Linked DNA regions of Callithrix jacchus. The protein of the gene in region 3 binds, or shares a complex with, the protein of the main gene of each other region. Links are inferred from orthologs where the notes say so. Each region holds a gene or a part of one and is shown on either strand. Other genes may lie near its edges. The genes, in order: BRD8, TRRAP, KAT5, MORF4L1, VPS72, ING3 and ANP32E.

What was found.
Region 1: KAT5 (region 3) and BRD8 share a complex: the UniProt entries of both Homo sapiens proteins name them as parts of the SWR1-like complex. The link is inferred for Callithrix jacchus from reciprocal best matches to the Homo sapiens genes KAT5 and BRD8.
Region 2: KAT5 (region 3) and TRRAP share a complex: the UniProt entries of both Homo sapiens proteins name them as parts of the SWR1-like complex. The link is inferred for Callithrix jacchus from reciprocal best matches to the Homo sapiens genes KAT5 and TRRAP.
Region 4: KAT5 (region 3) and MORF4L1 share a complex: the UniProt entries of both Homo sapiens proteins name them as parts of the nuA4 histone acetyltransferase complex. The link is inferred for Callithrix jacchus from reciprocal best matches to the Homo sapiens genes KAT5 and MORF4L1.
Region 5: KAT5 (region 3) and VPS72 share a complex: the UniProt entries of both Homo sapiens proteins name them as parts of the nuA4 histone acetyltransferase complex. The link is inferred for Callithrix jacchus from reciprocal best matches to the Homo sapiens genes KAT5 and VPS72.
Region 6: KAT5 (region 3) and ING3 share a complex: the UniProt entries of both Homo sapiens proteins name them as parts of the SWR1-like complex. The link is inferred for Callithrix jacchus from reciprocal best matches to the Homo sapiens genes KAT5 and ING3.
Region 7: KAT5 (region 3) and ANP32E share a complex: the UniProt entries of both Homo sapiens proteins name them as parts of the SWR1-like complex. The link is inferred for Callithrix jacchus from reciprocal best matches to the Homo sapiens genes KAT5 and ANP32E.

Annotation. Positions count from the first base shown.
Region 1 is NC_133503.1:36,552,337-36,555,836, forward strand, and holds part of BRD8 (bromodomain-containing protein 8), read right to left. Parts: intron 1,082-3,500; coding exon 992-1,081; intron 458-991; coding exon 389-457; intron 1-388. UniProt on the Homo sapiens protein: May act as a coactivator during transcriptional activation by hormone-activated nuclear receptors (NR). Isoform 2 stimulates transcriptional activation by AR/DHTR, ESR1/NR3A1, RXRA/NR2B1 and THRB/ERBA2.
Region 2 is NC_133503.1:14,714,028-14,718,282, reverse strand, and holds the start of TRRAP (transformation/transcription domain-associated protein), read left to right. Parts: upstream 1-1,455; 5' UTR 1,456-1,554; intron 1,555-3,404; exon of another isoform or gene 3,405-3,510; intron 3,511-4,255. UniProt on the Homo sapiens protein: Adapter protein, which is found in various multiprotein chromatin complexes with histone acetyltransferase activity (HAT), which gives a specific tag for epigenetic transcription activation.
Region 3 is NC_133511.1:122,810,577-122,813,260, reverse strand, and holds the end of KAT5 (histone acetyltransferase KAT5), read right to left. Parts: intron 2,452-2,684; exon of another isoform or gene 2,222-2,451; coding exon of another isoform or gene 2,180-2,221; exon of another isoform or gene 1,858-2,179; coding exon of another isoform or gene 1,684-1,857; exon of another isoform or gene 1,519-1,683; coding exon 1,359-1,518; exon of another isoform or gene 1,234-1,358; coding exon 1,152-1,233; exon of another isoform or gene 1,060-1,151; coding exon 925-1,059; 3' UTR 501-924; downstream 1-500. Other genes in the region: RNASEH2C (ribonuclease H2 subunit C), read left to right, coding at 1-55, 1,684-1,857. UniProt on the Homo sapiens protein: Catalytic subunit of the NuA4 histone acetyltransferase complex, a multiprotein complex involved in transcriptional activation of select genes principally by acetylation of nucleosomal histones H2A and H4.
Region 4 is NC_133507.1:29,178,285-29,181,784, forward strand, and holds part of MORF4L1 (mortality factor 4-like protein 1), read right to left. Parts: intron 2,452-3,500; coding exon 2,350-2,451; intron 1,329-2,349; coding exon 1,240-1,328; intron 836-1,239; coding exon 663-835; intron 106-662; coding exon 21-105; intron 1-20. UniProt on the Homo sapiens protein: Component of the NuA4 histone acetyltransferase (HAT) complex which is involved in transcriptional activation of select genes principally by acetylation of nucleosomal histones H4 and H2A.
Region 5 is NC_133519.1:11,082,130-11,086,239, forward strand, and holds the start of VPS72 (vacuolar protein sorting-associated protein 72 homolog), read right to left. Parts: upstream 2,801-4,110; 5' UTR 2,725-2,800; coding exon 2,608-2,724; intron 1-2,607. UniProt on the Homo sapiens protein: Deposition-and-exchange histone chaperone specific for H2AZ1, specifically chaperones H2AZ1 and deposits it into nucleosomes.
Region 6 is NC_133512.1:126,145,823-126,149,322, forward strand, and holds part of ING3 (inhibitor of growth protein 3), read right to left. Parts: intron 2,857-3,500; coding exon 2,760-2,856; intron 974-2,759; coding exon 902-973; intron 129-901; coding exon 9-128; intron 1-8. UniProt on the Homo sapiens protein: Component of the NuA4 histone acetyltransferase (HAT) complex which is involved in transcriptional activation of select genes principally by acetylation of nucleosomal histones H4 and H2A.
Region 7 is NC_133519.1:10,155,253-10,158,752, reverse strand, and holds part of ANP32E (acidic leucine-rich nuclear phosphoprotein 32 family member E), read left to right. Parts: intron 1-1,751; coding exon 1,752-1,901; intron 1,902-3,303; coding exon 3,304-3,426; intron 3,427-3,500. UniProt on the Homo sapiens protein: Histone chaperone that specifically mediates the genome-wide removal of histone H2A.Z/H2AZ1 from the nucleosome: removes H2A.Z/H2AZ1 from its normal sites of deposition, especially from enhancer and insulator regions.

The DNA.
Region 1 (3,500 bases), on a different chromosome or scaffold from region 3:
ACTATTGTACTCCAGCCTGAGCAACAAGAGCAAAACTCCATCTCAAAAAAAAAAAAAAAAAATATATATATATATATATATATATACACACACACATACACACATATATATATACACATAGATAAATAGAGATAGATATGGATAAATGGATCATATGACTTAAAAGTCAATAATATAAAATAAATAAATAAATCTATATCATCCTTTTGTTCCCTGCATTCCTTCTCAAATAAGGATATAATACTGAGCTCATCATAACTTTATAAACTTATTTGGCTATGAAAACATATCTTGAGTTTATAAGTAATAAAAAATAACAGATGGGAAATAAAAAATGAAAAGGCAGATATAAAAGCAACCAAACTTTCTCGACCCCTTTTTCACTGACCTTTTTACCACATCCTTGTACCCTGGGGCCTGCCTTTCTGACACAGGCTTCAGAAATGGACTGCTGAATCTGTTAAGGGACAAACCCAGAGAGGATAAAGAAACCCTGGTAAGGTTTTCTAAAAGAGAAGAGAAGCTCAGTTCTTAGTAGACTTCCTTTTGCAGAATGCAGAATGTGAGCACCATTAGAAAGAAATCTATTTGTTCCCTCTTGATAGAGAGTTTAAAAAAAACTATAAAATATTTAACTATTATTACAATATACTGATTTAGGGCTCAGAAATTTGTTCAAAGTTCCTGAGGCCTTGTCTCTGTGAAAAAAGAGAATCCACCAGATTGAAAAGAAGAATATACATTTTAAATACAAATTTTATCATGAAGTAGGAACCAATTTCTAGAGGCAATTCAAATGGCACAGCAACTATTTCTTGTACTGACTTAAAGCAGCTGTGAGTACTTTGGGATAAATCAGGCTTAGATACAGAATCTACCTTTCAACTATGGCTCATTTGAGGTATGAACATATCTCTTTTTATGCTTAAAACCCAATATGTATTACTGCTTCAGTTCTGAACATAATCCTATCACCATTTTGGAGACCTACCTGTGACTGGCAATCATCTTCCAGACTGGCAGGAGAGTCTTCTTAAATAGCAAATGATCCTGAACAGGGTCATCCTGGCTTAGATCAGTCCTATGGGATAAAACATGACAGAAAAGAGACAGTAACTTCACAAATAATATTCTGTCTCCCCAGGTGGGTAATGAGGTTTTCTTTTCTTTTCTTTTTTGAGACGGAGTTTCGCTCTTGTTACTCAGGCTGGAGTGCAATGGCGCGATCTCGGCTCACCGCAACCTCCGCCTCCTGGGTTCAGGCAATTCTCCTGCCTCAGCCTCCTGAGTAGCTGGGATTATAGGCACGCGCCACCGTGCCCAGCTAATTTTTTGTATTTTTAGTAGAGACGGGGTTTCACCATATTGACCAGGATGGTCTCGATCTCTTGACCTCGTGATCCACCCGCCTCGGCCTCCCAAAGTGCTGGGATTACAGGCTTGAGCCACCGCGCCCGGTCTGAGGTTTTCTTAAGACATGCACCCAATTATCTGAAGTTTTCAAAAATCTCTCCTTAAGTTATCTGGCCAAGCAGACTTAGTTATTAATATCTATTAATAACTATTGCTTTCTCTTTTAATTTTTAAATTTTATTTTCTTGAGACTGATTCTTGCTCTGTTGCCAAGACTGGAGTGTAGTGGCATGATCTCAGCTCACTGCAACCTCCACCTCCCGGTTCAAGTGATTCTCCTGCCTCAGCCTCCCAAGTAGCTAGGAGTACAGGTACGCACCACCATGCCCAACTCATTTTTGTATTTTTCATAGAGACGGGGTTTTGCCACATTGGCCAGGCGAGTCTCAAACTCCTGGCCTCAAGTGATCCACCCACCTCAGCCTTTCAAAGTGCTGGGATTACAGGCACGAGCCACCACACCCAGCCAATTTTTTTTTTTTTTTTTGATAGAGGGTCTTGTTCTGTTGCCCAGGCTGGAGTACAGTAGTGTGATCATGGCTCACTGCAGCCTCAACCTGCTGGGTTCAAGTGATCCCCCTGCCTTAGCCTCTAAGTAGCTGGAACTACAGGCACATGCCACCACACCCTGCAGCTAATTTCAGTATTTGTTGTAGAGACAAGGTCCCATTATGTTGCTCAGGCTGGATAGCTACTGCTTTCTAATAAAGATTTCATATTTAATCTAAATTCTAAGATAAGGATGTAGAGTTTACCATCCAAGACTATTAACTATCATGAGATAAAATGTCTCATATTGCAGATTTCCTGCTGTTTGTACGGTCACAATGTGTCATGTCAGCACTCTATTGCTCATACTTAAGGAGTTACAGAAAAGCAAATGAAGGTATTCCTCACCAATCTACATTTTAAACTATATGTGTACCAAAAATTGAAATCTAGGCTGGGCACAGTGACTCAGGCCTGTAATCCCAGCACTTTGGAAGGTTGAGGTGGGATTGCTTTAAGCCAAGAGTTCAAAACCCAGCCTGGGCAACAAAGGAAGACCCTGTCTCTACGGGGAAAAATAAATAGATAAATCTGCTGTTCAAACTATATATATATAATATATATAGTTTGTTATCTGTTATATTTATATATAACAGATAAATTTATATATTTATATATAACAGATAAAATTATATATAAATAACAGATAAATCTGCTGTTCAAACTGTATATATTGTATACAATATAGTTATATATATAACATTTATCTGTTATTTATATATAAATTTATCTGTTATATATAAATATATATTTATCTGATATATATGAATAGATATATTTATCTGGTATATATTTATATATCTGCTGTATATCTTAAATGAAAAAACATTAGAATAATTGTTAGTTTTGCCTTTCCACAGACAACTGGGTGGATCTGGGATATAGTGATGGAAAAAACAAACAGTTCATACTATATTCTCTCAGTAGGTGGATCTGACATTGTCCAGAAAAAGACTATTTATTACCGGAGTAAAAGTAACTTACTTAGCTGTGTGTAGTGGCTCATGCCTGTAATCTCAGCACTTTGAGAGGCTGAGGCGGGAGAATCGCTTGAGGCCAGGAGTCACAGATAAAAGCAACTTTGTTTTTATTTTTAATTTTATTTTATTTTTAAAAAATAAAGACGGGGTTTCACCATGTTGGTAAGGCTGGTCTTGAACTCCCAACCTCAGGTGATCTGCCGGTCTTGGCCTCCATGTTTTTCTGCTTTAAAAAGTAATTCGTGGCCGGGAGCGGTGGCTCAAGCCTGTAATCCCAGCACTTTGGGAGGCCGAGGCGGGCGCATCACGAGGTCAAGAGATCAAGACCATCCTGGCCAACATGGTGAAACCCTGTCTCTACTGAAAATACAAAAATTAGCTGGGCCTGGTGGTGTGCACCTGTAGTCCCAGCTACTCAGGAGGCTAAGGCAGGAGAATTGCTTGAACTGGGAGGCAGAGGTTGCAGTGAGCCGAGATTGTGCCACTGCACTCCAGCCTGGCACCTGGCAGCAGAGTGAGACGCTGTCTCAAAAAAAAAAAAAAAGTAATTCACTTCAG
Region 2 (4,255 bases), on a different chromosome or scaffold from region 3:
GATTGCACCACTGTACTCCAGCCTTTTTTGGTTTGTCATAAGGCTGCGCCATCTCATGTGCATTTTACACTGCGAATTCATCTCCATTCAGAGGGGCCACACCACACCCGGGGTTAGTGGCTGCTGAAGTGGAAAGCACAGCGCTACACTGTCTGGGTACAAATGCATCTGACCATCCCAAGAATCTTCTTCGTCCTCCTTTTTTTTTTTTTTGAGACAGAGTACAGAGTTTTGCTCTTTTTGCCCAAACTAGAGTGCAATGGCACAATCTCGGCTCACCTCAACCTCCGCCTCCCAGGTTCAAGCAATTCCTGCCTCAGCCTTCCAAGTAGCTGGGATTACAGGCATGTGCCATCATGCCTGGCTAATTTTTCTTTATTTAAATAAAAAATTTTTTTTTTTTTTTAAGTAGAGACAGGATTTCTTCCTGTTGGTCAGGCTGGTCTCGAACTGTTGACCTCAGGTGATCTCCCTGACTCAGCCTCCCAAAGTGCCGGGATTACAGGCGAGAGCCACTGCGCCTGGCCTGTTTTTTTGTTTTGTTTTTGAGACAGATTCTCTCCCTCTTGCCTAGTTTAGAGTGCAGTGTCACAATTGTAACTCATAGGTCACTGCAGCCTCTAACTCCTGGGCTCAAGTGATCCTCCCACCTCAGCCTCCCAGGCAGGTGGAACTACAAGCATGCACCACCATGCCCAGGTAATTTTTTTATTTTTGGTAGAGATAGAGCCTCATTATGTTTCCCAGGCTGGTCTTGAGCTCCTAGCCTCAAGTGATCCTCCCCCATCGGCCTCCCAAAGTACTGGGATTACAAGAATAAGCCACTGTGCCTGGCCTCAAGAGTCATTTTTTTTTTTTCCACAATTCTCCCAGTCTAGCCCATAGGGGCCACAAGTCCCTCTTACCAGAGTGACTCTGACCTTCCTCCAAGCATCCTCACCTACGCCATGTGTCTGCGTGCCTGCTACTTAGCATGTAGTTTAGTGCGAAGTAGATGCTTGTGGAATGGCTGAAAGGATGAGTCCTCAAGAACTTGATACTTCAAACTCCTGGCCTCAAGAGATCTGCCCGACTCCGCCTCCCAAAGTGTTGGGATTACAGGCGTGAGCCACCACACCTGGCTTATTGATCATTTTGACATTGACTATATGTTGAAATGATATTTTGAGTATATTGAGTTTTGTAACATTATTAAAATTGATTTCACTTCTTTTTCTTTTTTTGAAATGTGGCTACTTGAAAACTTAAAATTACATACACAGTATGTAGTTTGCAAAGCAGATGCTAAAAGTGGAATGGCTGAAAGAATAAGATGAGGCCTCCCTTTGATAACTCCCCCAAGGCCTTGAACATGACTCAGTGTTGGAAACCATTTGTCCGTGCCTCCTCTGCACTGACCTTGGACTGCTTTCGGAGATGCCATCTCATATAATCATGCAGCAGCACAGAGGGGACATTCTCTCCCCTGGCGCGGTGAGCGTCGGTCACAATAGACACTGAGGGCAGCCTTAACAAAGGATGCCTCGGGCCAAACGTCCAGAACAGCAGCCACAGGTAAGGGTCTGGGGCCCGGGGACAGATCAGACGTTGTGAACAGTCAAATCTCATTCGCCTGGCTCTGGTGGTGGGACCTGTTTTGGTTAATTACATTTTTCTGGGTAATGGAAAGCTCACACTCCTTTGGAGTCAGTTCTTGTTGGTGAAAGTCTTTCTAAAGCAAGTTAGTGTTAGTTGGTCTGTTGGCCCTAGCAAGGTGGTATAATAGAATCTTCTTTGGTCATTCAAGGGCAGCAGCCCTAGGGTCCGTATTCCTACCACACATCCTCATTGTCCTGCGTTGGAAATTGACTATGGGCTGAGGGGGCTGCTGGGCAGGTAACAACGACTCAGAATCAGCTCCTGGGAGATGCATTTGGGGCTAAATCCTGGAGTAGCTTGGAGGGAGCAAAATGAGTTCAGGGATATCCCTTTTTTTTTTTTTTTTGAGACAGTCTCGCTCTGTTGCCCAGGCTGGAGTGCAGTGGCACCATCTTGGCTCACTGCAACCTCCACCTCCTGGGTTCAAGCTATTCTCCTATCTTAGCCTCCCAAGTACCTGGGATTACAGGTGCCCACCACCACGCCTGGCTAATTTTTGCATTTTTAGTAGAGATGGAATTTCACCATGTTGGCCAGGCTGCTCTCAAACTCCTAACATTGTGATCCACCTGCCTTGGTCTCCCAAAGTGCTGGGATTACAGCCGTGAGCCACCACACCCAGCTAGGCCTCCCACTTTCTTGGGGTAGTGGTGGTAGGACCACAGCAGATTTTGCTCACAAATAGGCAACCTCTTCCGTGATGGAAGGGCTATTCTGAAGCATTTTGTTTCTCCTGGGGCAGAATTAATTGCTGCTAAAAACATCCACTTACAATCCCAACATTTCAGCTGTGGCCTTGCTCTTGAGTGGCAACGTTAAACAAGCAAGGAGCTTCAGAAAAAGAGCACCTCTCCTCCAGAGTATCCATGGGCACTGCAACAGTTATTATCGCAGGGTAGGAAATGTATGTCTGAGAAGGGAACATAATGATCTTGGTGGGTTAGTGATGTGGGGGGGTAGGCGCAGGAAGGTGGAACCAGGGCCTGGAGGTGGCCAAGTTCAGGTCATGTTTCCATGCTCTGTCCCTGTAACATGTCCTGTGTCCCTGTAGCAACCATAGTTCCTGACGGTACGTTTCCCTTCGAGACGCCTTTTGGTCTGGCCCGTGCCACCTCCCTTGGCTCCATCCCCCCTCTATCCCTTCATTACTGGGGCCTGGCCTGAAACTTATTTAAAAAAAAAAAAATCTCCATCAAGTTTTGATGGAGGTAGATCTGCCCGACAGGTGGATCCAGCCTCGGCGGAAAAGCAGCTGGAGAACCAATGAGACCCTTCTGCACCTGGGCAGCCAACTCCAGGAAGCACACCCGGACTTTATTTTGCTAATAGGGTCTCAGTCCGTCACCAGCCTTACCTTCCCAAAGACCCTCCTGGCCTTCTCTCCCTGCTGCGGGATGAGAAGGACCCCAGGAGGGGAGCGGGGAGTAGGGGTGGCAAACTCTGCCCTGCTTGCCACCTTCAGTCCAGTGGTAGACGATACCTGGGCCCCATCGCTGCCAACTCGGGAAAGCCCTCCCAACTTGCCCACGGCCCCCAGGATCCCCGAGCACTCCCCGCGGCCTGACTTCTGGGAGTAGACTTAGGGGCCGATGAAGCCCCTAGAACCTGGGCGCTGGCCTGGCCCGATCACGGCTGGCGGGGGGTTAAAGGGCCGGGGCCCACCGAGATGGTGGACGCCCCTCCCCGCGCCCGCGCCCGCCCAGGCCGCACCCACTTGGGGGCGGTACGCCGGGGCCTGGTGCACGGTCGGCGGGCGCGGCCGCTTTAAGCGGGGGCGGGACTGCGCGCGGCGGAGCGGCGGCGGCGAGGGTTCGGCTGGGGGTTGCAGGGGTCGCGGGCCGGGCCTGCTGCAGCCGGGTCGCCAAGGTCGGGGTAAGTTGGGGGGCGGGTGTCTGAACGGCCCCGGGAGGTGCGCTCGGCCCCCGGGCATGGGGAGGCCTCTGCAGTGCGGCTGCTCGGCGGAGGGAGGGAGTGGGGGGGCTCCGAGCGCCCCGGGGTTCCTTAGGCCTCCGCCAGGGTCCACCGGGGGCTGCAGGGACTACGGCGTTCGCGGCCGAGCTGAGAGGAAGCCGTAGGAGGCGCAGCACTCGCGGGTGCGGGAATTGGCGCTCGGCGCTCGCCGTAGCTCGGTTTGGGACGCGGTCGCGTTGAGCCCGGGACTGCGACAAAAGGAAGGAACCAGAGGGCCGTTTGTGAGCTGAGAGGTCGGGTGGGACGTTGCGGGGGGGGGTCCCTTTTCTCGGGAGGCGCCCCCCGGCCAACCTGGCACCTCCGGGCCTCCACGCAGGCACCGGACTGGTTAGGCCCGGCTCGGGGAGCGAAGGTTGCGGTGACCACAGCGCCCCCTCTGGCCCGGCGGCGCCGCCTCAGGCCGGGTTTGGCGGGGTCGGGGCGGGGGATTGGGAGGGGCGGCGGGGCCGTTCGTCCCCGGGAGAGGGAGCTGCGCGTCGCCGGCCCGGCCTGGGCCCTCGGCACCCGGCAACCGGCACCCGGGGTGGCGAAGCCGCTTTCTCGCAGACACGCGGAATGGGGGCGTTTCTCCCTAGCCAGGGCCCCTAGGCTCTGTGGGACCCTCGAAAATGAAGAGTTGACGACTTCTGTGGGAAGGGGGAAGTTT
Region 3 (2,684 bases):
TGGCCCGGATGCCAAAGTGCGTGGGGCCTTAACTTGGCCCAGCCTCGCGGCAGCGGTGAGTACACAAGGAGCCCCCTTTCTGGATCTTGCCCTGGGTGGAGTTTTGGAACACGGGCTGAGGAGCACAGTAGGGCAGACGGAGCCTGGAGGATTCTACTGTGTAGTGCATGGGAAGCGCGGCTCCCCGCATGTCCTGAAGGGGTTATTCTGAACAGCTGGGTGGTTCCCCGGGTGTGGGGGTCAGCCTGCCGCCCTGTCTTACAAGCCCAACAGCAGAGGCGACTCCTGTTGCAGATTCACGCACAGGTGCCCGAGGACTGAGAACCAGAGCTTGAAATTGAAAGCCACGATCCCTTCCTTCACAGCAGTAAACCAGTTCTTCATTTTGGAGCCACTGATTCCATCACCCCAATAAAGGAGCTCTTCACAGCACCTGAGTCTGCGCGCCTTAGAGGCCTTAAGCCAGCATGGGCCCCTTTCCCACAAGAACCTTGCAGGGCTCTGGCATAAAGAAACAATTTATTGCCAGGGCAATGGGAATAAGAAAGTCCAGAATCCTTTGCAGCCAGCACCCACCCCACCCCCAACTTCTACTTTACAAAAGAAATTTTTACAATACTAGCCCTCTGTACAGAGCTCCCCCACCCCCCATCTCACTGTACACAGCTGCCTGGCTCCCTCTGGTCCCTGGTTCAGAGCAGGCCTGGGCCTGTAGCCAGCTGACCTTGGAGTTGGCCTGAGCCCTGAGCTCGCCTTGGTACTGGGCACCAGTGGGCCCCTGCTAGGCCTGTCCCCTCCTCTTGGAGCTGTCCTCAGCCCCAACTCCCTTAGAGTGCTTTGTGGGAGTTGCAGTGGGGACAGGGTGGGGCGTGCTATCAGCCCCAGTCCTGCTGTTGTCTTGCCACTGCAGTGGGCAGTGCCTGGTCACCACTTCCCCCTCTTGCTCCAGTCCTTGGGAGTGAAGTGCAGACACTTGGAGTCAATGCGCAGGAGCCGCTTGAGCATGGCCCGCTCATGCCCATCCACGATGTCCTCTGATAGTGTGAGGATGTACTGGCCCTGGGCAGAGGAAATGGACCAGCAAGTGGTCAGCCCACAGGGGCCTGCACTCTGCATTCCACACACCTGTCTCCCCCTACCTTCCTCCCTACCTTGTAGTAGTTGATGAGATTGAGGTACTGCAGAGTGGAGATGACATCCTCCTTCTTGATGCTGGTGATTTCACTGATCTCACTGTGGGAGGGCAAAGGTCAGGTCCCCTGAGAACCTTCATCTGTCCCCAGGAGCCCCAGGAGAGAGTGAGAAAGCCCGGGGACAGGCCATGCCATGCACCCCCAGGTAGGTGGGGCCAGGCTCACTTGATGGTGATCTGTGGCCTCTCCCCGCTCTCCGACTTCAGCCCCATCAGGATCTCCAGGATGGTTTGGGACCAGTAACTTCGATAGGACAGGAGGCCAAGGTCTGAGAGGGGCTTCTCAGGGGTCCCTGTTTTCCCTTCCACTTTGGAGAGTTCATAGCCTAAAGCAATGGAGCAGGAGAGGGTAAGATGTCACAGATGAACATAAGCAACATTTGAAAACACAGGTCACCAAGGCAGGCTGCCTAGTTCCCATAGTGGCCCCACCACTTGGCAGTTCTGTGCCCTCAGGAAGAACTAATGGTTGTGTATTCTCTCTTCCCCAGTGTGCTGAGCACAGTGGAGGGTGTGAGGGCACTGAGAGGAACAGCTGCAACAACCACAAGGGAGACCAAAAGCTGGTGAAGGCTTACAGGCAGGGGATGCAGAGAAAATGGCTCAGGGGAAGAAAGTGCCTCCAATTTTCCTTTGCCATCCCAGGCTTGGTGTCTGGGCAGTGAGGAAGGAAGTAAGGACTGATTCCCGTCTCAGATCCAGGCCTGAGGAGGCTTGAATTCTCAGTCAAATCAGTCCTTCTACCTGGGATCTTGGAAGTGTGAGCTGCTCTAAGACCTGTGTGGCCTGACTGGGTGGTTGTGAGGATGCAAGGAGAGAAGGTGCATCAAGGTGCTTCCTAAGACGGGGAGACCATTCCTGAGAGCCAGTGTAACTGACCCTGACAGTGGCTCGCTCCCTCTGACTCGTGCAGACAGGTGAGCACTGGGAAGCAGTGAGATCCTCAGACCCTGCATAGCCCTGAGTGGCTTCACATCTCTTTGGCAGGGTCTTCATTCTCCCCATTCAGGGACCTGGAATGTTTGTTAGTACTAGAAGCCCTTCCTCACCCTCAGCTATAACCAGCCTCATAATGGACCTTAGCCCCCTGGTGATCCCACCCACATCCCATCTCCACTGCGGTCTGAGCTCCAAGACGGACTTGGACTGAGTTTCTTCAAGCATCCACTCGTGCTACCAGGCTGAGAAGTTCCTGAAGATGTGACCCCATCTGGGCATCATTTAACCAATAAAATTCCTCAAATGGACCATAACCTTGATCAATTAAAGCCTCTGTGTCTTCACCAGACCAGCTAGTACTTCCTGTCACCCAGGTCGGAGCTTGGTTATTCCAAGGGTTTGGTGAGTGGTAAGGTAGACAGAATGGGGGGTGACAGAGAGTAAGAGGCTTGGAAGGAGAAGGGGGCCTCAGGGTTGGGAAGGGCAATGAAGAGCCCATGTGTGATGAAGGTCAGAGTCCCTCTGGCTTTAAGAGATCGACCTTCCTGAATAC
Region 4 (3,500 bases), on a different chromosome or scaffold from region 3:
ACTACCAAGCATAGACTTACTTTAGGAAATCGTGAAGATAATTCAGTAATAAAGCAAGGCTCTTCTCATCCAGAGGTGTATAGGCCAACATTGCTCCAATTCGTACTGTTTAAACAAGAGGAATTATCGAAAGTTACATCCAAGGCAGCAGCACTTTAACCATGTATTTTAATTATGTGAGCAAATGCAAATTCCTTTAAAATACATTATTTTAGGCCGAACACAGTGGCTCATGCCTGTAATCCCAGCATTTTGGGAGGCCAAGGTAGGCGATCACTTGAGCTCAGGAGTGCCAGACCACTCTGGCCAACATGGCGAAACCCCATTTCTACTAAAAATACAAAAATCAGCTGAGTGTGGTAGTGGGCACTGTAATCCCAGCTATCTGGGAGGCTGAAGCAGGAGAATCACTTGAAACGGCAGGCGGAAGTTACTGCACTCCAGCCTGGGCGACAGAGTGAGACTCCGTCTCAAAAATAATAATAAAATAGAAATACATGATTTTTAAAACTCTTGCTCTTAAAGATTCTTTTGCTATTTAACATTCTAGATCAAAGTTCAAATTAAAATGGAGTCATGTTTTGGAAAGTTAATTATCTCATATTCATTTAGGGAAGACCCTCCCCCCAAAAGCAAAATTATTTTCAACATGGCATTATTACCAAATAGTCTCAGTAGATGTGGCGCTCCATACACCTGGGACATGGGTGCATCAGGGTGATCTGCAAGAATTTCAGCATACTGTGGTCTCTCAAATTTGTAGAGTAGCTGGGTACCCAACATTACATTGAAGTATTCTTTTATCCCTGCCACAACTTCATTAACCGCATACTCCCTGATAAATGAACAGAAATATTCCAAAACTGGTCAATGAAAAGAACTGAGATAGAGAATAATTTAATCAACCAATTTAAAGAATTAAGAGTTGAGCTAGTAAAAATGAACCCACAGCTGAGATTTTTTTTTAAAAAGGCACATGAAAGCAGCGTTTGACAAACTTACATTTTCATATGGTTATGCAAATATTTACATGATAGTTTAAACTGTGCCTAAAATATTTACTATCTGGCCCTTTAAGAAAAAGTCGATCAGCCAACTCCTATGTCAAAGCAGTGAAATTCTATTTTGCTACTTTTTGGTGATATGTTTCAGAGTCAGTACAAGTTTCAGATGATTTATTTAGAAACACATTTTTTTTAGAATGTCTTTTGAGTGTATTTGAAAGGTGTATATTCTTACTTATTATCTGTGTTTCCACGAGATTTCTTGTAATTTGCATAATCCTCAAGAATGGAATCCACATTCTTCTTGGCAGGAAGATAAAAGAGCTATCAAAACAAAAACATGCTTGAATATAAGCACTCTTTTTTTTTAAAAAAAATTACACCGGGAAAATTTTTATACAATAAAAATTTAATTACAAACAGTTTCCAACTTACAATGGTTTGACTTAATTTTCCAACTCTCTGCTGGGCCTATTGGGATGTAATCCCATTCTAAGTTATGGAGCATCTATTTATTTAAACAGCCAAATGTGGCCAGTGAGGCTGTACTGGACAGAACAGCACAGCTTTTAAAAATATCAAACTGTTAGACACACAAAACAGACACAAATGTGCCTCTGTGGTATTACCAACTCATTTACTGTTATACATATTATTTGCTAGACCTAGTCTAAAGCATTAAAATAGTTATCGTTTTATCCTCTCATCGACATTGTCAAATAGGAATTATTATTCCATTAAATGCAGAAACAAAAGCACAAAAAAAGCTAAGAAACTTGTCCAAGCTCACAAACAGTAAGTGATACAGCCACGGCTTGAATCTTCGCAGTTTAGCTGTAACTGCATAATCCTCCAACGGATTCAAATCAGAATTCAAACTATGTCCGTATGTTGTATATGACTGATATGTTTTAAGTCTCATAATCCTCAAGCAGTCCCTAATCATCTGCCCCCCACCATCCCTAACACTACCTATGCCATTTGTTTAAAGAGCTTCATTTGTCCCACAAAATTCTCAATTATAGAGTTCAATGATGGATAAACATGTCGCTCCATTAAACATCCTATTTCCTGCAAACTAGTAACAGACCCAGGAGCTTAGATTCAGGTTCTTTTCAGGGTCATGAATATCTTGCAGGTGGTGACAGGTGCTTTCTATGGCCTACCATTAGCAGGGATGAAGACAGTAAACACATGCTGCTTTGCCTTTACCTATTTTCAGAATTACTTCCTGCCCTAGCAATCGCCAAAGTGTTATTGACACCTTTATCATCACAAAGTCATAAAAGCTTTTTTTTTTTTTTTTTTTGCTAGCAACAATGTATCACATTAGCTAGCAATTTACCTGCTTTTGCCTGGTAATTAAGTCCCAGTCATCAACAAGCCATGGTTTTAGTTCTTCAGGAATCTTTACTTTAACTTCAACTCTGTTCATGAATGTTTCCTCCTATACAGAAATAGAAGAGTATTTAAAAACCTACCTTTATCACGCCACTGCACACCAGTCTGGGCAATAGAGTAAGACACCATCTCAAAAAATAAAACAAAAGAAAACAAAACCCCTATCCTTTCTTGCTAAATACCAAACATGGAAGGGAGTTGACTTTTAAAGGCACTAGGTATAAATTCTCAAAGTAGCTAAGCATACAGCTGAACTGTCATTTTTAAAAACTGTAAATGAAAAAGACCATACACAGCTTTGCTGCTGGGAGAAAAGAATCTGACCTTGAACCATAGTCTATTTAGTACACTATCACTTAAGGTAAAAATTCTTAAGTTCCTGTTGTTCAGGAAATGAAATAAGTGATAGTACACTATCACTTAAGGTAAAAATTCTTAAGTTCCTGTTGTTCAGGAAATGAAATACCCTGAGACTTGATACGTTTTAACTTAGTATTTTCATATTTACCACTGACATCAAAACAACTGTTCCTAACACAACCATCTTAAAGACCCATCTTGAACTCATAAAAGTAAACATACTGATTTCTAATAGTTTTCAAAAACTGCCCCAAAATGCCTATTTTCAGATTCTACTACTTTTAGCTTCAGATATAAACTATGCCAGTTAGAAATTAAAATTCTAGGCCAGGCCGGGCGCAGTGGTTCACGCCTGTAATCCCAGCACTTTGGGAGGCCAAGGCAGGTGGATCACGAGGTCAAGAGATCGAGACCATCTTGGTCAACATGGTGAAATCCCGTCTCTACTAAAAATACAAAAAAATTAGCTGGGCATGGTGCCGCGTGCCTGTAAACCCAGCTACTCAGGAGGCCGAGGCAGAATTGCCTGAACCCAGGAGGTGGAGGCTGCAGTGAGCCAAGATCACGCCATTGCACTCCAGCCTGGGTAACAAGAGCGAAACTGTCTAAAAAAAAAAAAATTCTAGGCTGGCTGCAGTGGCTTATGCCTGTAATTCCAGCACTTTGGGAGGCTGGGATGGGCAGATCACGTGGTCAAGAGATAAACACTACCCTGGCCAACGTGGTGAAACCCTG
Region 5 (4,110 bases), on a different chromosome or scaffold from region 3:
TCCTGGACTCCCAAAGTGCTGGGATTACAGGCATGAGCCATCGCGATGGGCCCCTAAATTCTGTGGGTTCTGTTTCTTTACCACCATGCCCCCTTCTAGCCATTCTCATTACAAAGTAAGTAATCTTTATTTATTTATTTTTTTTTAGATGAAGTTTTGCTCTTGTTGCCCAGGCTGGAGTGCAGTGGTGCGATCTCCGTTCACAACTTCAGCCTCCCAGGTTCAAGTGATTCTGCCTCAGCCTCCTGAGTAGCTGGGATTACATGCATGTACCACCACACCCAGCTAATTTTATATCTTTAGTAGAGACGGGGTTTCTCCGTGTTGGTCAGACTGGTCTCTAACTCCCAACGTCAGGTGATCTGCCCACCTCAGCCTCCCAAAGTGCTGGGATTACAGGCATGAGGCACCTCGCCCAGCCATAAGTAATCTTTCTAAGGAACAAATTTCATCATGGAACTCTGATGACTCATCTCAGTCCTCTGGATGAAGAGCAAAACTCCTTAACATGGCTCACAAGGCCGCCAATGATGTGGCCCATGCCTACTCCCTCCAGGCTTATCAATATTTAGTCTCCTTCATGCTCTGGAGGATGAGAGTAGACTTGCAGGTCCCAGACAAAGATCTCAACTTTACCTACTCTACCCAACCTGCTCTGTGGACTAACCTTTCTCCTCCTGCTTTTCACCAAGCCAAGGCCTACTTTTCAAACTCCTCAGCTTAAACATCATCTCTCCAGGGATGCCTATCCTGATTAAAAACTTTGGCTCACATGTATTACCTTTGCACTCTATCTTACCCCTTGTTTTAGTCCTTATCACACAGTATTTTTTTTTTGACACACAGTCTCTCACTCTGTCACCAGGTGCCAGGCTGGAGTGCAGTGGCACAATCTCAGCTCACTGCAACCTCTGCCTCCAGGGTTCAAGCAATTCTCCTGCCTCAGCCTCCCAAGTAGCTGGGACTACAGGCACATACCACCACATCCAGCTAATTTTTGTATTTTTAGTAGATACGGGGTTTCACCATGTTGGTCAGGATGGTCGAGAACTCCTGACCTCAGGTGATCCGCCCACCTCGGCCTCCCAAAGTGCTGGGATTACAAGTGTGAGCCACCCACACCCAGACTTTTTTTAAACTTTATTTATTATTTATTTATTTATTTGAGACGGAGTTTTGCTATTGTTACCCAGGCTGGAGTGCAATGGTGAGATCTCGGCTCACCGCAACCTCTGCCTCCTGGGTTCAGGCAATTCTCTTACCTCAGCCTCCTGAGTAGCTGGGACTACAGGCATGCGCCACCGTGCCCAGCTAGTTTTTTGTATTTTTAGTAGAGACGGGGTTTCACCATGTTGACCAGGATGGTCTCAATCTCTTGACCTCGTGATCCACCCACCTCGGCCTCCCAAAGTGCTGGGATTACAGGCGTGAGCCACCGAGCCCGGCTATTTATTATTTATTTATTTTTTGAGATGGAGTTTCATTCTTGTCACCCAGGCCGGAGTGCAATGGCATGATCCCCGATCACTGCAACCTCTGCCTTCTGGGTTCAAGTGATTCTCCAGCCTCAGTTTCCCAAGTAGCTGGGATTACAGGTGCGTGCCACCATGCCCAGCTAATTTTTTTATTTTTAGTAGAGATGGGGTTTCACCATGTTGGTCAGGCTGGTCGAGATCTCCTGACCTCAGGTGATCCGCCCGCCTCGGCCTCCCAAAGTGCTGAGATTACAGGCGTGAACCACCGCGACAGGCCTATCACACAGTATTTTAACTGACTGTTAACCCAGCCAGTTACCCCACTGGGGTATCGAGTATGTAAGGACAGAACAGTGTTTTTAATATTCTGTTTCCCTAGAAAACAGAGCCTAACACAACCTATCACCAATGGCATGCTCTGGGTTCTCAACACATTTAATAAATAGGTAGATTCAACTAATAAAAATTCAGCAAGTGGCAGCCCAGTCCGGACACCTCACGCATAATGTTGAATAAAACAGACCGTCTCTAACTTTATAGAGTTTACAACGCAATAGAAAAGTATAAGCAAGTAAGCAAACCAAATCTAATTACAAGCTGAACTATGTCCTGTGAAGGTAATAAATGGGGACACTTGTCAGGATAGTCAAGGAAGGGTTATCTTTCGGAGAAAACATGTACACTGAGACTTGAAGCTGAAAAAGGAGTGGGCTAAGCTCCTCTACCTTTGGAGCAGTTCCTTCCCGTGTCTCCGATGAATAACCCAGCAGTAGGCCAACGAGTACACACCGAGCAGCTGACTACTGCGTGTGCCTCGCATATGCTGGACGTCAGTAGGACAGTGGGAGATGCAACCAGAGAAGTACACGGCAGGTTTCCGCCGTTCTCCATAGTGCCTCCTGAGAGCTTCTCCCTCCCAGGCCCCTTTGACCCCATCCAGAGCTCTCCCTTCTAGGCCTCCACAAACTATCCGCTCCCCCGCCCCCACCCACACACTCCGATTCACCCAGCCATCTCGAATATCAGCTCCCAGAGCTCCTCTCTACTCCCCGCCCTCTTCTTTATCCCGGGTTGCGTCCTTCAGGGCTCCTCTTCGCTTCCTCCCCTCCCTTTTCCCAGGCCCGGATCTTGCCTCTGTGAAACCCCCATAAGTCGTCTGGTAGAACTCATCTTCTTCCTCTGCCTCCAGAAGCCCCGAAAGCCGGTTCCCAGCGGTCTTCCGGGGGGCCCGGCCTCCAGCCAAACTCATACCGTCTACTTAGACCTCGCGGCCACCTGCGACCCCTCAACAGCGCGGTTCTGGAAGCTCGACGCTCAACACCACTACCTGCGGGTGGCCGCCAGCGGCGGAAGTTGGGCGTTTACAGGCAGAAGTAGCAGAGTGTCGAGAGATTTCTAGTCTCTGCCTCTAAATCCTCTTTACTCTTCAGCCTGTCCTATGCCTGTGCGGAGCCTCCAAGCCGCTTGCCTTAGCACCCAATAATCTGCCTTGCTCAATGAGTCCACTTGGTGACACAATGGCCCCCCACAACCCTAAGTCAACACATTTTATTTATTTTATTATTTATTTTTCTTTTTTTAAATTGCATTTTAGGTTTTGGAGTACATGTGAAGAACATGCAAGATAGTTGCATAGTTACACACGTGGCAGTGTGATTTGCTGCCTTCCTTCCCTTCACCTATATCTGGCATTTCTCCCTATGCTATCTCTCCCCAACTCCCTATCCCCCGCCGTCCCTCCCCTATTCCCCACAACAGACCCCAGTGTGTAGTGCTCCCCTCCCTGTGTCCATGTGTTCTCATTGTTCAACACCCGCCTATGAGTGAGAACATGCGGTATTTTCTCATTTCTGTTCTTGTGTCTGTTTGTCATTATTATTATTTTTTGATGTCGAGTCTCTCTCTGTTTCCCAGGCAGAGTTTGGTGGCGTGATCTTGGCTCACTGCAACCTCCACATCCCCGGTTCCAGCAATTCTCCTGTCTCAGCCTCCCTAGTAGCTGGGATTACAGGCGCCCGCCACCACGCCCGGCTAATTTTTGCATGTTTAGTAGAGACAGGATTTCACTATGTTGGCCAGGCTGGTCTCGAACTCCTGACCTCAGGTGATCCACCCTCCTCGGACTCCCAAAGTGCTGGGATGACAAGTGTGAACCACCGCACCCGGCCTATTTTATATTTATATTTATTTATTTTTTAAGAGATGGGGTCTTGCTATGTTGTCCAGGCTGGAGTGCAGCACGATCCCACTACTGATCAGCAAGGGAGTTTTGACCTGCTCTGTTTCCGAGCTGGGCCAGTTCACCCCTCCTTAGGCAACCGGGTGGTCCCCCGCTCCCTGGAGGTCACCATATTGATGCCGAACTTAGTGCGGACACCCGATCGGCATAGTGCACTACAGCCCAGAACTCTTGGGCTCAAGCAATCCTCCCACCTCAGCCTCCCGAGTAGCTGGGACTACAGGCGCGCGCCACCACGACCGGCTAATTTTTTGTAATTTTAGTAGAGACGGGGTTTCGCTGTGCTAGCAACGATGGTATCAATCTCCTGACCTTGTGATCTGCCTGCCTCGGCCTCCCAAAGTGCTGGGATTACAGTCGTGGTCCACCACGCCCAGCCACATTTTCTTTTTCTTT
Region 6 (3,500 bases), on a different chromosome or scaffold from region 3:
TAACTTACCTAGCGTATTTTCCTTAGAGGCATCTGATGTAAGGGTGGATAGAAGAGCTTCAGATTTAAACTTCTTTTCAGGAATATGATCTGTTGTTGTATGGTGAGAAGTTGGATTATATTTCCTTTCTAAATAAATAAAGAATTCACGTGTTTTTAAACTTTAGAGAACTATGGACAAGATATAATACTTCTATCCAGTTACAACGTGGAACAGTATGATCTGGGTTCCTCTAAAATACAGAACATGATGTTTCCTCAGAAGGCAGGGCAAGCAGAACTCTGTGTTACATGTTTATTAAGAGTAGACTTCTCTGCCATTTAAAAAACTTCAGTACCAAAGTACTAAAGATAACCCAACATGCACCATGGCCTCCCATACAATATGAGGAAAATTTTGTTTTCAAAGCATTATTTACCACTTAGAAAAGTTTTCAGTCAACTATCCTTTCCTATATCAACTAGCCAGCCCGTCATCTAACAATTCATCCACTCACTAACTTAGTAGCCATTCAGACTTAATTACATGCCAAACATTAGGTTAAGCACTGGAGAAGCAAGGATGAAAAAGAAAAGGGCCTATTACAGAACAGTTTATTGTCTGGCTCAATTGTAAAGCTCCCTAAGGAGAATCAGGTATGCGTAGGGAAGGAATATATGCTATTAGTACCATACATTCTCCCTTTAAGAGAGAACATTTAAGAGAAAACAGAACACTCATTTCTGAATCATATAAGCTTTCCACAAGGAAAAAGATAGTCTGCAGTACTTGCAATGAAAAAAAAAAAGGAAGGGATTTCTTCCTCAATTGGTTGAATAAAGTTAAAAAAAAGAGAATATACAAGTGATATAATAAGGTTTTAATTGTTTTTCAAAACTTAGCTGTACTACACCAAACTTACTTTCCACTGGAGTATGTGAATGAGCATGGTGATTGTTCACTGGCTGTGAAGGAGTATCTAATTCCAAAGATCCTAAAAGAGAGGCACAGAGATACACCACTATTAAATGTCACCACAGAACTTCACATGTTAGTCTACTACAGGCAATGAGTTCCCTTACCCAGAGGAGGACTAGCAAGTTCTGATGCATATGCCTGTATCATTTTAGCCAGACATGTTAAAGGATCACCACTGTCCATCCCACACTGAGTTATCCTCTCTCTAAACAATAAGTTCTTTTCCCAATATTTATCTTAAGTACAAAATGGCTCAAGGCATACTTGTGTCTAATTAGGGAATTTACCACAGTGGGTGCATATAAATGGATGAATGGACATTGTAATCTCATTACTGGTAAGAGCCAACCTAGTTTTACTGAATTGAAGACCTTTTAAAGGGAGATTCTAAAGTTCTATGTAATGGGGGACATTACTATATGAAAAAAATTATTTGATTATTAAAATGCCATTATGATAATAAAGACTTCATAAAAGTAGTTAGGGATTTTGCTTGCAAAAGTGAGAAGAATAACACCAAGCTTAAAAATAACTCTAATGAAATTTTCTGGGTTTATTTTTTGATCCCTTGAGATGAAATTATGGCAGGGCACAGGGTGGAGCACTTTTTATAACTTGATCCAATTTTGCTTCATATGTCTGTGTCCTTAGAGAGGATGCTTTATTAACCTTCCTGCAGTACTGAATAGGCATGAATTATCATTACTCACAGCTATCATCGGCATTTTAAAGAAAATCAAAGCAGCTAAAGAATTTTAAGTTTTGTCTCAAAATACTTATTAAATCTTCAGATAGGGTTCCTCAAGAAGAAAAGTATCACAAATAAATAGGATGGTTATCTAAAGTGATGGATCTACTTTTGAACACAAACATGGAACTATGGATATCAAGACAGACTTGTGATTGGCTTCCCTAGCTGACTTATGGTGACTATACAGAGATACATAGATTGGCACTATAAAGAAACCTTTCCTCTGTGTGTAGAAACAGGTACGTATTCCTGCTATTGAAATGCACCAAGAAAAAATATGTTTGTAAGTTTTAATTAAACTCTAGTAGAAATTAGCCATAATACTAATTTGGTTCAGTTAACATCTAGTGAGTGCCTACTCTACACCTAGTACCACACTAACTGCTTTTATGTACGTTACCTATTTAGGTTAGAAGAAATGCTAAATTAGTTAAGGAACCAGTGTTCATGCTTCCATTTTTGGGAGGTCATACCTCCCAAAAGAAGTGACAGGGTTAAGTTATAGCAGGAGATCAAATAGAGCCTTGCAAAGAAATATTTAAATGGTTTCTTGCTGATAAGCGAAAGAAGGAAACACTTCCTTAAGAAAAAGAGGTAGTGTTATGAAACCAAGTTGGATCTTTTTCAGTATATACAGTTAAGGAAAAGCCATAAAGTAATTCTTATGAAGAGAAACTAACCACCTTCCTCAAAGCTTAAGTATATAAAGAGGCAGGGTAAAGTCAACACATTTAATGCAAGATAGATAATTTGTCTCCCGACGGTTATGTTTCTCTAAATTTTTGTTCTTACCACTCAACTTACTAGGATATGAGGATATAAAAATGATTTAATATGCTATTTCATAAAAAGTGAGTGGATGGTATCCTATATTATCTCTCTCAGTATCCATGACCCAAACATTTCCAGCTGCTAGGGTCCAAGCTATCTGGCCTAGATGCCACCATTCACTTAAGGGCAGGATTTGAAAAGCCTCTGTGGGACAAACGTCTTCTCAGTGATTTGCACATGTACTGTCCAATATTGATGGAAAACTGTAAATTTTACTTACGCCTCTCTAATATTTCTGTAATTCCAGCATTATCAGCTTCCAGCTCCATTTTAAACTTAGCCAGTTCCTGATCCAGCTTTCTCAAGTGTCGATCTACCTGTTTCAAAGAAGATCAAAGATAACCACCAAAATTTGGGACACTGTTAAAGTGTCAGTTTAATGAGGAAACCTAAATCTTTGTTTCTTTTAGTGAATCTGCTTAGTATCTTTAAGCAAGTCAATTAACCTATGCCTCAGAGGTTTTTAATCTATAAAATGAGGGTGCTACGCTAGTAATCTCCCAAGTCTCCTTTAATATTTTTAAGTTCTAAGACCCGGACTCTCAACTTGTTAGGAAATATTCTATACTCCATTTTCAGAAGTAAGGACATGAAAATTAGAGAAAAACTGAGATTAGGGGTTAGAGATGGGAGGAGGGAGTGGAGGCTGCTTACTTTTCATAATGTATGCCCTGTTATTACTTAAAGCCTAATCTCCTCCTACTTATAAGGCCATCATCCACACTGTCATATGATAAAACCTATTATTTAGAATGATGAAAGATCCTTAGTCTATAAAGAAGCTCCTGTTTTCTACACATCTATTTCTCTTAGGCATGAAAGTGAACCATTATGCTTGTAAACATTTACATGAAGAGTAACAAAAGGGGTTTTTAATCAGAAAATTCCATTCCTCAAAAGGTCTGGTTAAAATTATTTTATTTATAATACTACTTCCCTAGTTAAGTTGGCAAAATTTTAT
Region 7 (3,500 bases), on a different chromosome or scaffold from region 3:
TGCCATTGCCCTCCAGCTTGGGTAACCAGTGAAACTCCGTCTCAAAAAAAAAAAAAGTGATTAAACAGTTTCTTCTTCTTTATTCTTCTTCTTCTTTTTTTTTTTTTTTGGTGAGACAGAGTCTTAATCGTCACCAAAGTTGGAGTGCAGTGGCATGACCTCGACTCACTGCAACCTCTGCCGCCCAGGTTCAAGTGATTCTCCTGCCTCAGCCTCCTGAATAGCTGGGATTACAGGTGCCTGCCATCAAGCCCAGCCGATTTTTGTATTTTTAGTAGAAACAGGATTTCGCTATGTTGGCCAGGCTTGTCTTGAACTCCTAACCTCAAGTGATCCACCTGCCTCCGCCTCCTGAAGAGCTGGGATTACAGGTGGAGCCATCGCACCCGGCCCTTTGTAGGTTTTAGGGCAACTCATTTAAATCTTTTCCTGGTAGCTCAAGTTCCCCCTCCTTGCATAAATATATTCCCTGATGTTGAGGGTCTTCTTCATCAGGGTCAGAACAGGTTTCACATGAGAACTTCTTTTTTTTTTTTTTTTTTTTTTCTGAGATGGAGTTTCACTGTTGTCACCCAGACTGGAGTGCAATGGCACGATCTCGGCTCACTGCAACCTCCGCCTCCTGGGTTCAAGCAATTCTCCTGCCTCAGTCTCCCGGTTAGCTGGGACTACAGGCACGCACCACCATGCCCAGCTAATTTTTGTATTTTTAGTAGAGATGGGGTTTTACCATGTTGACCAGGATGGTCTGGATCTCTTGACCTCGTGATCCACCCACCTCGGCCTCCCAAAGTGCTGGGATTATAGGCATGAACCACCATGCCCAGCCCAAAGTTTGTTTCTTATGCATCAGTGATTTGAAGCAGATATTGAACTTTAGTCCAAGTTTAAATTTAAAAGATGGCTGGGTGCGGTGCCTCATGTCTGTAATCCCAGCACTTTGGGAGGCCGAGGCAGGTAGATCACGAGGTCAGAAGATCAAGACCATCCTGGCCAACATGGTGAAAACCCGTCTCTACTAAAAATGCAAAAAAAGTTAGCTGGGTATGGTGGCACGCACCTGTAGTCCCAGCTACTTGGGAGGCTGAGGCAGAGAATTGCCTGAACCAAGGAGGCGGAGATGGCAGTGAGCCAAAATCGCTCTATTGCAATTGCACTACAGCCTGGGCAACAGTGTGATATTCCATCTCAAAAAAAAAAAACATACAAAAAAAGAAGTTTAAAAGATTACCTGGGCTGGGCACAGTGGCTCAAGCCTATAATCCCGGCACTTTGGGGGGCCAAGGCGGGTGGATCACAAGGTCAAGAGATTGAGACCATCCTGGTCAACATGGTGAAACCCCGTCTCTACTAAAAATATAAAAAATTAGCTGGGCATGGTGGCGCGTGCCTGTAATCCCAGCTACTCAGGAGGCTGAGGCAGGAGAATTGCCTGAACCCAGGAGGTGGAGGTTGCGGTGAGCCAAGATCACGCCATTGCACTCCAGCCTGGGTAACAAGAGCGAAACTCCGTCTCAAAAAAAAAAAAAAAAGATTACTTATAGTGATGACTTAAGATTGAATATTAGTTTTGGGGGAAGATGAAAAGGCTCTGTGTAAGGGGATTGATGGGGTTTTGTTGTGTTGCGTTTTGTTTTAACTAATGGGCGATCAAACTGGAGATTGGTGGTTTCCAGTGTCTCAAGACCCAAGTCTATAGCTAAAAAGATTACAAACGAAAGAATCATTAATTAATGTGTTCCCTCTTACAGGTGACAGAGTTAGTCCTTGATAATTGCCTGTGTGTCAATGGGGAAATTGAAGGCCTGAATGATACTTTCAAAGAACTAGAATTTCTGAGTATGGCTAATGTGGAACTGAGTTCACTGGCCCGGCTTCCCAGCTTAAATAAACTTCGAAAAGTAAGTTGGCGTTTACGGGAAGCATCATGATTTCAAAGCCATGACTATTATGTCTAGTGTTTAGCCAAATTGAATGACCATTCTGCTTGCTAATTAGAAGTTTTTAAGTTTCTAGAGATAAGAAAACATTATATAGGATTTTGTGCGTCAACTCTAATATGCTTTCATTCATTCATTTATTCCTTTGTTTATTTGAGATGGAGTCTCACTCTGTCACCCAGGCTGGTGTGCAGTGGGGTGATCTTGACTCACTGTAACCTCCATTTCCGAAGTTCAAGCAATTCTCCTGCCTCAGACTCCCAGGGAGCTGGGATTACAGGTGCTCGCCACCAAACCTGACTAATTTTTGTATTTTTAGTAGAGATGGGGTTTCACCATGTTGGCCAAGCTGGTCTTGAACTCCTGACCTTGTGATCTGCCCACCTTGACATCCCAAACTGCTGGGATTACATGTGTGAGCCACTGTGCCCGGCCTTATTTATTCATTTATTTTTGAGACAGGGTCTTACTCTGCTCCCCAGGCTGGAGTGCTGTGGTGTGATCTCAGCTCACTTGAACCTCTGCCTCTCAGCCTCAAGCATACTCCCACCTCAGCCTCCCCAGTAGCTGAGACTAAAGGCATGTGCCATCACACCTGGCTAATTTTTGTGGTTTTTTGTAGTGACAGGGTTTCACCATGTTGTCCAGGCTGGTCTTGAACTCCTTGGTTCAAGTGATTCTCTTGCCTTGGCCTGCCACAGTGCTGGGATTACAGGTGTGAGCCACTCTGCCCGGCCTAGAAATTTAAATCTAATGGTGGAATTGCCTTATAACACAAATTTGAATTTAATCAAATATTTTTCTCACATCATGAAATCCAAATGTAGTACAACTAGAATCCAGGCAGGGTTAGGAGCCCATTATGTAGATGTTCTAATACATTGTTTGGCAGATATAGGTAGGAATTTGGAAATTAACGATCTGTAGTGATCATTTCTTGAAGCCAGAGAGAATGACTTTTTTTTTTTTTTGCTTTAAATTGATATACTTTAAAAATATTTGATACGCCAGGCTCGGTGGCTCACGCTTGTAATCCCAGCACTTTGGGAGGCCGAGGCAGGTGGATCACTTGAGGTCAGGAGTTCAAGACTAGCCTGGCCAACTTGGTGAAACCCTGTCTCTACTAAAAATATAAAAATTAGCTGGGCCTGGTGGCGGGAGCTGTAATTCCAGCTACTCGGGAGGCTGAGGCAGGAGAATTGCTTGAACCCAGGAGGTGGAGATTGCAGTGAGTGGAGACTGTACCACCGCACTCCAGCCTGGGTGACAGAGTGAGACTCTGCCTCAAAAAAAAAACAACAAAAAAAAACTCTGACATGCTACGTTTACTATTCTTTGTTTTTTTCCTGTGTTGAATATATAGTTGGAGCTTAGTGACAATATAATTTCTGGAGGCTTAGAAGTCCTGGCAGAGAAATGTCCAAATCTTACCTACCTCAATCTGAGTGGAAACAAAATAAAAGATCTCAGTACAGTAGAAGCTCTGGTAAGTGGAACGGTTTTGTCTCTGGGCTTGCTTTTTCTGGTTAAATTTTCTGAGATTTGTTTGTCTTACTGATT